Linked DNA regions of Neodiprion lecontei. The protein of the gene in region 1 purifies or fractionates together with the protein of each later gene. This does not show direct contact. Links are inferred from orthologs where the notes say so. Each region holds a gene or a part of one and is shown on either strand. Other genes may lie near its edges. The genes, in order: brefeldin A-inhibited guanine nucleotide-exchange protein 3 and prohibitin-2.

The links.
Region 2: the proteins of brefeldin A-inhibited guanine nucleotide-exchange protein 3 (region 1) and prohibitin-2 purify together in Homo sapiens (affinity purification with western blotting; 4 studies listed by BioGRID). This does not show direct contact. The link is inferred for Neodiprion lecontei from reciprocal best matches to the Homo sapiens genes ARFGEF3 and PHB2.

The regions. Positions count from the first base shown.
Region 1 is NC_060260.1:31,603,196-31,608,144, forward strand, and holds the start of brefeldin A-inhibited guanine nucleotide-exchange protein 3, read right to left. Parts: upstream 3,178-4,949; 5' UTR 2,943-3,177; coding exon 2,858-2,942; intron 2,789-2,857; coding exon 2,655-2,788; intron 1,689-2,654; coding exon 1,554-1,688; intron 1,423-1,553; coding exon 1,257-1,422; intron 1,175-1,256; coding exon 1,045-1,174; intron 880-1,044; coding exon 610-879; intron 459-609; coding exon 228-458; intron 145-227; coding exon 1-144. Other genes in the region: mitogen-activated protein kinase kinase kinase 7, read left to right, coding at 3,388-3,465, 4,052-4,277, 4,817-4,934. UniProt on the Homo sapiens protein: Participates in the regulation of systemic glucose homeostasis, where it negatively regulates insulin granule biogenesis in pancreatic islet beta cells. Also regulates glucagon granule production in pancreatic alpha cells.
Region 2 is NC_060263.1:14,560,292-14,567,100, reverse strand, and holds prohibitin-2, read left to right. Parts: upstream 1-1,846; 5' UTR 1,847-2,072; coding exon 2,073-2,202; intron 2,203-2,362; coding exon 2,363-2,625; intron 2,626-2,786; coding exon 2,787-3,104; intron 3,105-3,256; coding exon 3,257-3,334; intron 3,335-3,552; coding exon 3,553-3,649; intron 3,650-3,948; coding exon 3,949-4,151; 3' UTR 4,152-4,202; intron 4,203-4,332; coding exon of another isoform or gene 4,333-4,337; 3' UTR 4,338-6,169; downstream 6,170-6,809. Other genes in the region: solute carrier family 35 member F6, read right to left, coding at 6,308-6,475, 6,566-6,720.

The DNA.
Region 1 (4,949 bases):
TTGATTGTACAAGTGTAATCATGACTGATAGCTTTTCCTTCACAAAGCTCCTGCAATGCAGATAGCATAGCAACAACACAGGAAACAGAGGCATGAAGTACCAACGGCCCAGCTGTTGTGGATTCTTCTATTGAATCCATAACTCTGGAAGATGAATAATGATATAAAATAAATGTAACTAATCTTTGGCTGAATTGAAGATCGTCGGTTAAAAGTTGAAAACCTACAGTCGCATTAATGCCATGTCGCTTTGTTGACTTCCTTTTTCATCTTCAACCAGCAAAGGTCCTGCAAAATCTACCATTCTACTCGGACTACGCAACAACTCCCGAAGTGCTTTTAAAGGTTCTATTCTGTGTTGTGGTGGTGGGTATAGTAACATTCTGTGAAATACTGATTCCAGTACCGGGCGAAGCGACCCAACACAACCAACCAAACGGACCAATTCTGTTCCGATACTGAAATTTGTAAATTAAATTATTACACTAAATTTTCATAGGTATATTCCAAATATGTTATATAAAACGCCATAAAGTGTATCTAATCAGTGCGGAATTACTTTTTTCGACACACTTTGAGCCAAGTTTGCTTGCCACTGTAATATCATACCTATAAACAGTTTTAGCCTGATGGCTGTCAAAACTCAAAGCTGTTGCTAAGTAGCCTGACCCTCTACCAACTTCCGTATCTTTTCCTTCCCTGGATATAAATGTTTTGTCAACTCTTGGAGTACCCAGAAAAGCTATGAGCGCGGGGCAAAACTTTTGCCACAAGAATGTCGTGAAGTGTGCATTAGTATGGATTTTCTGCGGAAGAGATGATATCAATGTGTGCAAGCATTCTAGAAGAAACACAACTGTTGTTCCATTACGGCCGTTTCTGGAATAATGATTGAAAAATATTAGATTAAACTTAACTTTGCAGTAATAAGTGCACATTTTAATACTGCGGTGACATTGTTCGAAGAATATTAAAATGAATTTTTTTTTTTCTACAGAAGTTCAACTGTAAATGTTTCGTTTGATTTTTTTCAGCAATACTTACGTTTGAGCTTCATCTAATTTGCTACAGATATATTGTAGTATAGGTATCGCCTCATTAAAACAAGATACCCCTCTTTCATGAATATTCTTATTCTTCTTGGCATTCTCGTCCATTTCTTGACATTCTTCATCTGTAATAAAAATATTTAGTAGTCAAAATTTGTGGTGTATACTAAACTACATCCTAAGCAATTAAATATCTGTTCATATTGCCTAGAAATAAGCAGAAGGATCGAAGAGTTTGGCTGGTAGCTGCCTGTGCCGCAGTTCTAACTGCTTGGTTTCCATTTTCAAAGGCCTCGCTACAAGTTGTTAGTACAGCAATAATGAGACGACCATTCATTGTCCAATATGAAGAACATGCAACTTGCAGTAGCACCTAGGAAAAATTTTACGAATAACATCAATAATAATATTAATGATTTGATTGGTTTAAAATGAATCACAGGTAAAAACAGCCTAGACTGTATTTGCTCTTCATTTCTGTTTTCAATTTTACAACTAACTTACTTTTAGCATGTCTGTCTGTGCATCGTCTGACTGGGATAATATGGAACTCATAGTATGGAGCATTTGAGCTGGAAGCCACAAGGAATCATCCTCCGGCTCATAAGGAGACTGAAATCTATCGTCCCTCAGCATTTTCTGCCATAAGACATAAATGAACATTAATTGCATATAACCACTTATATCTATAAGAAATTATTCTATTCAATTTCAATTAGAAACAAAATGTTTGTTCGAATAATCCTGAAAAAATAACTCATTGAAGCGAATAAGTATAAATTATCTTAGAAACATTTAATGTCAAATTTAACACTATATATTAGTCGATTAAAAAAACGACATGAGCAAATAAGTGAAACATAAGCAGAGTGCTTGATATGTCAGTAAAAATATGTTATATATTGTGTAATCAGTGTCGAAACCGTGACCAAAAAACTTAGAGCTTCTCCCATTGCAATAAAAATCATTTGGCATGAGCTTCAAATTTGCAGAATATATTCAAAACGCTGTCATAACAGGAGAAAGAGACTGAAATCAAAAAAAATAGTTTCCTATTTCTTATTGATCAACTTTCACTGCATAACAGGTCTGAAATTGCAAGGAGACATGTAAAAACAATCAATTGGTAAGCAAAAACTACTGTCTGAATATCGATTGGTAACTTGCTAAATAACACAGCTCTGAATGAGTTTCTAAATCTAGTCAAGCTGCTCAAAGTATTTTACAAAAAATCATGAATTCTGAAAACAAAAATTTGTGGCACAATGATCTAATTTTAACATTAATTATATTCTTGGAACAATTTTTTTCAGTTAAAGTATAGTTTCACTTCGAAATATAATTTAAATATTTTTATACAGTTATCGTCGAAACAGTAATTAGTAGAAAAAATCAGTCAGCGTCAGAAATGTGAATGAGTGCTAGCTGTGTAGCATAGTGAGTATCATATGGTGAAAGCACTATCAGTAATTGTACCACCCAGGATGTGGTTATTGCAAATACGAGGGTGTTACACAGTGAGAGTGAGGCAATGTACGAGCGATAAGGAAAGCTGGCGAAATAAAGCGAACAGCTGTGAATATCGGGATCATTAGAATGCATTACATGTAGGCCAGCAAGACCAAAGGCGACAAATTTGCTTCTCCTTGTTTCGAGAGCGAGCTGACAGGTGTGGAGGCATTTCGCCCGCAGTTCGTGCGGGGGATCCCGCAATAGACCTTGCTGCTTGTCCAGGAAATCTGTGGGAGAAAATAAGTGAGTGAAGAATCAAAAAATGGATAAGATAAGATGTTCAATGTTTAGCTCACCATGTGCCTCTTGCGCCGATTTACGTATGTTTGGTAATTTCGCGTGCGAAGCCTCCTTGACGATCTGCAGCAGGAGGTCCTCCATGACAGAACCATGCAACAAATCGATAAAGCGAGTACAGAACCCGGAGACGAGATAAAAATGTCCTACGAGTCCAGAATAAACTCGGAACAACGCGGCGTAGTCATTTCGATATGAGAATTATATTATTTACTTAAAATCTTGTCTAATAATTGATTATATTCGACAACTATCGCGAGTGTTCTGCTTTTGATATTTCTCAAATTTTCCGCTGCACGCTCGTCCACTCAGCAGCGCCGCTGCGATCGCCATTGCAGGTTTGATATCTTTGACCAATTGTATTACAGAACGCCCACTTCGTCTCAAAACAACGCAAACACGTCGGTAGAAAGACGAAAAATGGCAAATGGCGAAACAATTTGAATGCCAGTTCAAATAAATATTTGTGAAAAATTTGCGTTAGCTGGGTAAATGCGGCCTGAAAATAATGTGATGCGGACGGTATGTGATGGCGAGCAAGGAAGGAACTGGCCATCAGCAACAGTTTGTTGAAGAAATTAACTACAATGAAATTGAAACACAGGAGGTAATCTTGTGATATCTGTGTAAGAAAATCGCACATTTTCATTATGTTTACCCTCACCAAATTGTCATTTTGTAGCAAATAACTTACCCTTAAATAAATAGCACTCGTAAAATTCCATATCGTATCAATGAACCTCGTATAAAAATCTATTGCGAAAACATAACCTCACAACATCTTCGTCTCCAAAACATTTTGGTCTCTATAAACATACATGAATATTTTTTTCACTCAATTATTTATCTCGATCAATCAACTGAGTCCTGACTGTTAATATGTCCATCCACTTTCGGGCTGTTGCTCACCGTTATTCATCAGTAAACATTATTATTGACGTGCATAGAACTCGCGTTTGTAAAAGAGAGTGAATTGATTTATACAATATCAACGAACAAGCTTTATAGATCAGCTAACGTTAGTTAAAATTAAAACATTTATTTACAAAGAGATATCAGCCATTGCTGTGTAATCAAATTCATCTAATCAGCTTTGATACGCGCCTCATGATTTGTTTAGACATTTTATGTCAGCGATCCAACTTCCTTTAACTAATACAGTAAAGTAAAAAAGTAATTGTTTCTGATAACAGATTGTTGGGAAAGGCTCCTTTGGAGTTGTCTGGAAAGGACGATGGAGAGGTCAGTATGTGGCGGTGAAACACATAAACTCTGAGGGAGAGAGGAAGGCATTCACCGTCGAAGTGCGCCAGCTATCCAGAGTAGCACATCCTAATATTGTTAAACTCTATGGTGCATGTACAAAAAATCCAGTTTGTTTAGTTATGGAGTATGCTGAGGGTGGCTCTTTATATAATGGCAAGTAATTGAAAATTTATAGTACACTAGTGTTAATTCAAACTAACATCCAGCTAATGATTTGTGAAATATACACATATCCAAAAAATGACCATGCATCCTAAAAAATGATTTACTTTGTAAATGATAAGTATTATTTCAGAAGTATCACATCATGGTATTTCTTTATTTAATCAATTGCGAATAGAGTTGCTTGAAATAATTTTGGTTGTTGAGTACAACCCAGTATGTTTAAACAAATGTAGTGGTTTTACTTGATACCTTATCTATGAAATAGGAGTAATGCAGTGCCTGAATATAAAACACCAATGATCTGCAAAATACAGCATACATTACTGAGTTTTCAAATTTCACTTTAAGGCTGCTCTGTCCCATCATTCTAATAATTATACGTGAATGATACTTTCTCTGCTTTATTCTTCCATTTACATTCGAGCTGTGTACGTATCTTTTGAGAATTGATACTTTTTCTGCTTTTTTAAAAAAAATTTCTTTACAATACACACATATTTTATAACTATAATGTGTTAATGTTACAGTGTTGCATTGTAATCCACAACCTTACTACACAGCAGGCCATGCAATGAGTTGGGCACTCCAGTGTGCTCGTGGGGTTGCTTATCTTCACAACATGAAGCCAAAACCATTAATTCACAGGTTGGTCAAATATTT
Region 2 (6,809 bases), on another chromosome or scaffold:
ATAATACGCTGCAAGGACCACAATGACGCATTTTTGACCGATAAAGGTGGCATAATTACAAAAATGACATATTATATTAATAATTAATTATTGATTTATATTTCATCGAAATAAAGCGACACTTTTTGAGTTACGATACAGGGTAAAAAAATATTTGACTTACCTTATTCGTATGAAGTGTCACAATTTGAGATATCGTGTAACTATTCAAGTCTTATAACTGGTGTAAAGTTGGCTGCGAAACGTTTGAAACGACATACTTGATGCCCATCCGGTTCAAAACCGGCGCGCTACGATGACAACACTTCTGTCCTCTGGGTGGCGAGTTTTACGACTACACAAGTGTCACTTCGCGTGGTTAAAGATTCGAACCTCAGCAATAGAAATTGTATAGTATTAACATATATTTTTATTAACTCAAAAACGCCAATTTTAGAGTTGTTTGACCTTTGTGACCAAGGCGCGATATTTATATCATACGTAATATAAATTACATTAGGCATTGATAATAAAAATCCATGCTCTGCAACCCCTGAATACAATTACTCGAATGAGAATTCAGTTAACAGTGGTATATTATGAAGACGATGTTACACATACCCTATACGTTGAAGTCTGTACTTTCTCTTTTTTATTTTATTTTTTTTCGTGAAGTATTGATAATTAATATTGATTTTGGTGAAGCGTTGCTGGAAGAATTTAAAGAAACCGTAATAGCGATCCGAAAGTTTCTGTATCGGCGGGAGCATGTAAATACATGCAATACCATAAAACACACAGAACCCCATTGGGTTCACTGCCGTTACCCGTCTTTATGATCAACGGCAAATATGGCAAGATTGAACAAGCAAATTTTTGGATGACAGGAGTTTACAATCCACAAGAAGTCTGTCTCGATTTGTAGGTGATTTCATTGGTCAGATCCAACTGACCTACTGAACTGGCCAATGAAATCAGCGGTCTTAGTTCAACGTTGAAAGACCAGACCGTTGTATGTGACGTCATAAACGTCATGAAATGCATATTTACAAGCCAGGCTTACAGCATATACTGTACGTACACTTGGGGACAGATAACCCATGACCGTGGAAATTAACCGTAGAATATGCATAGTTCTTATATGTCTATGAAAATATGTGTCAATCCAACAAATCATTATCCCCGCGGTATTTACTGGATTGCGTTGCGCGTGGAAGGAAAGATGCAGAGGGCGCCGCTTGACAATGAATTCCTAGACCCACTGCGTCGTGACCACGGTCTTACATAGGTACAGGTCTTGCAAAGAAACCAATTTTCTGCGGAGCGGCGTAGTTTTCTTGTTGTCCGTGTTTCAAGTGTTTGAAATAGCCATGTCACGGCGCTGCTATCTAGGGATGTATGTGGGGTGGGGATGAAAATGTGCCACCGAAATTATATTTGAAATGAAGCATATAACCTAAAATCAGCGCGTGCGTCATACTGTGTCTTTTTGATACTTATTATTTTTTACTTAAAGTTCAATATTTAATTTCTTTACTGTTAAATATTTAGGCCATGTTCGCAAATTGACTGACAGTACTGAAAATTCCCTAGGACAGAGTCAGAGCTATTCACGAACTTGGAAGCGCAAAAGAGATAAAGGATTACTGACAGTACTGTCAGTCAATTTTCAAACACAGCGTTCGCTTTTGGATGCGTTCCAAAATTAGCTCCCATTACCATTAGCAATCTTTTATCTCGTTTGCACTTTCTAGTTAATGACTAACTCTGTTTCCGTCTTAGGGGACTCCGAGCACCGGTTAATACGTGATTTCGGAACGCACTTTTTGTTGCAGCGCGATCAGCGTCTTCACGCCCGACTCGTCCTCAATTCATCTACACGATCGAAGTCGGCAGTCTAGATTTCATCAAGAGCACGTGGTTGAAACCAAGTAGAGCCAGCGGCAGGCCTCGTTATCGGCCTTTTAACCTTTGCATCAGCTAGTTTGTTCGTTACGTGAAATCATTCCCGAATTTATCGAGCATTTATTTGAGGATCGTTATTTTGGTTTGGTTGTTGAAACTGATAATACGCCGTGAAATCTATATCGACAATGGCGCAAAGTAAGCTCAACGAACTGGCTGGCAAGTTTGGAAAAGCTCCGAATGGTTTATCGCCGGGATTGAAATTGCTCGCCGTTGCCGGCGCTGCCATGTATGGAGTCACACAGTCTATGTATACTGGTAAATAAATTCGTCTCACACCAGCTAATTTGTGTTCTAGTTATAAAATTACATGAACAATTGCGTTGTGATGGAGAAAATTTTCTGTACAAACACTGCTTGTACATACGGTTTTAATCTATAAACTCCTCGTATTAACATCGATTCATTTTACCAATAGTTGATGGTGGGCATCGGGCAATCATATTTTCACGCCTCGGAGGTATCCAAAAGGACATCATGACGGAAGGACTTCACTTTCGAATTCCGTGGTTTCAGTATCCCATTATATATGACATCAGAAGCAAACCTAGGAAAATTTCATCGCCAACTGGATCAAAGGATCTTCAAATGGTCAACATTTCCCTTAGAGTCTTATCTCGCCCTGATGCATTTAATTTACCTGTCATGTATAGGCAACTAGGTCTTGACTATGATGAAAAGGTGATTAAAACTGTTATTTCGTCTACTTTTCAGTTAAAAATATCAGTGAGTTGAAACCGAGAGGACATTTCACGAATTATTTTTTTTGTAATTAGCACTAACTTTGAACTACTTTTGTAAAAACAAAACTTACTTATAGGTACAATACTTTGCACTTGTAGGTTCTGCCAAGCATTTGTAATGAAGTACTAAAGTCTGTGGTGGCCAAGTTCAATGCATCTCAATTGATAACGCAGCGACAACAAGTATCTATGATGATTCGCAGAGAGCTAACTGAGCGTGCAAAAGATTTCAATATCGTTTTGGATGATGTGTCAATAACAGAGTTGAGTTTTGGTAAGGAATACACAGCTGCCGTTGAGGCAAAACAGGTAGCTCAACAGGAAGCGCAACGAGCAGCATTTGTCGTTGAACGAGCCAAACAGGAGAAGCAGCAGAAAATTGTCCAAGCAGAGGGAGAAGCGGAAGCTGCAAAAATGATATCCTTTAACTATTTCAACCGTAAAACTAGTGTTACATTCAAAAAGGAGAAACCTGCGGCATTTCGTTAGCCTTGTTGCTAATCGTGTGGGCTGATTAGTCATATCTGATTCTTTCGGTCTTGTATAAATTATCCTTGACTGAAATATACCTTGGTTTAGCTGTTGGACGAAACCCTGGATACTTGAAGCTAAGAAAAATTCGGGCAGCGCAGAGCATATCTCGAACGGTAATTCAATTTAGGGACCTAATAGTTGTTTGCTATTTATAACTTGATTATATGTTTCAAACCATGAATATGATTAAATTACCAGTGACAGGTATCGGACCCATATTATTATAGATTATAGCTTTCTTCACTGTCATCAAACCCTTTTTCTGTATCATTGTTTCAAAGCTCAATGTTAACAAGTGTTGATAAATTAACAATATGATTTTTTGTTTTAGATCGCAAATTCACAAAATCGTGTGTACTTGAGTGGCAACGGCCTTATGCTCAATATTCAGGATCCAACATTCGATGATCTGTCTGAGAAATTGAAAAGTAAGCAGTAATGACTAATTGAAAAGGACTTCAATCTGCACTTCTCTATTTCGTCATCTGTGCTCCGTTCTAATAATTTCCAGCGTCAACTAATTTACAATGCAAATACGAAGGACACAAAGTTGATTGTTAATCATGTAGCTAACAGATATTATAAAATACGCAAATTTGTAGATATGAGCTTTGCAGCGCTTGCTTCTTGCCCTGGCCTCCTGCCCATTATTTTCAAGTTTCCCACATTTGCCATTAACCTAATAAGACCAGGCACGCTCGCAAAATCCGAGATCATCTGATTTCAGGTAATGGAATATCGCCTGCTAGGTGGAAAAACTGGAATGAATCTGCGCAGCATGCAGTCAAATCTTTGAACATGAATTCATCTCAGCCAGCTTTGAGAAATGTTGAAAAGCCGTCGATTGTCTCAACTACTCCTTACGTCGAAGATCCTATTTCCCTTATTCTGGACTCTGCAGATGCGGGGGCTAAGCTTATCGTTCCCTAAGCGGCAATTTAATTAGAAGAATTTCGGATCTCTGTCAGAAGTTTGTTCAAAGTAATCTCACAAGCGAGCCTGCCTTGTCATATCTAATTATCCCAAATTCCTTATTGATCCTTTATAACCAGGCATCCATCCTCTACTTCACACCGGCATAATACATGGTACTAATCAAATTTTATTACAGGCTAAGGACTACCATCCGACGAACGATACATAGATTCATACCGAAGGTGGCAAGGATTGTCCTGGGTAAAACTTGTGTACATCAATACTGTCACGCCTGTATAGTGAAGATAATTCTAATAAATAACACAGTTTTAGTTTGTAAAATGTGATCAGAGCTTTTTAGTGACTGAAAATCTGCGTTTGCGGTACTGTGGTTTTATTGTAACTTTTTTGCCAGTAGAAGTTTTGATTTCCGAAATCAAGCAGGTTAGAATTCTTTTCAATCTCTTTCCTGATGTATGTTATACCGAAATAGCGTTCCAATATTTACTTATACCCTGTTGGAACTAATGATGTGTTTTTCTAACACATTGAGAGGCGTTATTCGTGCTTGATTCTGACTTTTGGAAAGAATTTTTGAAAAGACCATATTTGCCAAATTCGGGCAACACTCTGGCTAAGGTTGACCGTTTGTCTTCAAATGTCTGTACTTAAAAATTTTGTTTTGGAATCAACTTGTCGGAGAATTCTTTGAGAAATTGGCCTCTTAGGAATACGCAAACGAAATCGTAGATTCAACAATTGGATGAATTCGTAGAATATAAAAGTTTTAGTTGTTTGGATGTAACTTTTGATCCGGTGTTCACAGCGACTTTAGACTATGTGTAATCGGTTACTCTCGCAAAATTACGTTAATATGGCGTCTAAATAAATTTATTCCAGCAGTTTTGCAAAGTTCGCGAGGAATGGACTGCAAAAATACAAAAGGGTTGTCCTTTCTTTTTTACGAGCCTAAGACTTTTCGTCTGAGAATCAATTTCAATGACTCTTTCTAAACTAATCGTAAATATTAATTAATTCCGAAATGATATGAATACAGCGTCTGATTAAATGCAATTCATGATTATGATGAACGTATCATTTTCCAAAATCTGTGGAACCGACAAAATACAAACGGATTTGATTTTTAGCGAGTTGCAGACCTGAAAATCGATTTGTCTTCCAACGGTTTCGTAGAAGCGTTGCGTCAACGATTGGACCCTCAGAATTTCGAAATACGTGTACAATATTGTGAGATCAATATATGTTGAAATCCAAGGTCTTTTCCTTGCTGTCATTTGTGAATTTGTGACAGCAGAGACTGGATACGAGTCGCAGCCAAATAATTACCCCACAGATTCCGGTTATAGACCGAACTCATACACACGCATGACAAGGAAATTGATTAGTAAATGAGCCTTTGTATAACTATGGGTAATTTGCGCATATATTTTAATCTTTTAACAGCATTACACCTCAATTTCTTACAAACATCAAAATAATCTATGTTGTTAACTTAATGATCTGTCTGTTTCAATATCACTTCCACAATTACTAGGATTTGTGCATTTGCACCCAGTTCGTGAAACAAATCAACAATGAATGCAACAGTTTACTGATGCAATTGCATATGTAGAGACGATGACAATATGCTGCTAGGTGTGTGTAGGGAATGGATAACGAAAGGTTATTTATGGGGAGAAATGTTCAATTCCACTCAGGAGTCTGTAGAAAGAACAAATTATATATTCATGGTAACAATACATTAACAATACGACGATCAATTAGAGACGCAGGATTATTAAATCTGGTAATTCAACATGTTTTTCTCGTTCTCTTACGTCTACAGTTCGACTCACACACATAACTTTTCTTTACTCTCTCCTTACTCTCTTCCGCTTTTCATCTTACTACCTTTATTGTCAACTCTACTACTCTCGTGCTCTCTTGCTGTACACTCCACATGCCTTTCGCTCACATTCCTATTAGCCTCTCTCTACATTTTGCTGTAATCTGCCTCTCACCACATCTAACAATTCCATGCAAGAAAAATTCCCATAATCCGTTATGGTGGTATGAATGAAATACTTTGTTTCAATATTTATCTCTTTCAGTAACAATTGTGTATTTATCATTGAGAATTCGATTTAAATACGTAGTATAAGGAATACTCATTATTCATTTTTATCGGCAACATCGTCGGCTGCTGTAGTGATGATGCTTTCTTCATCCTGTTGTGGCTGACGCCGCCCCAAGCGACACTGAATTTTTCGGAACAATTGTGGTACAACAATATTGTTGTAGCAGGACATACCAATTAGTAAAACTGCAAAACCTATGAGCTAGAAGACAAAGAGAAGGACCATATAATTGTGGAATAAATGAATACTGCAATGGTGAGATTATTCTGAAATCGAAAGTTGCATAATCACCTGAAGATAATGAAAAGTTTGCCATTGAAATGCCAAAGAGAATGCCCATATTACCAATGTCCTTACACTGTCCAATACCATCCTTGTAGTGGCGCTCATTTCCTTTGTAACACTGACGCCAGCAAAGTTGAAGAATGCTATGCTCACGGTCATACCTTTCAAGTTTAACATGCAGGTAGATTAGTAGTAAATTTGTATCTTGAATAAATTTAGGAATTAAGCTGGACTCAGAAAGAAAGATACA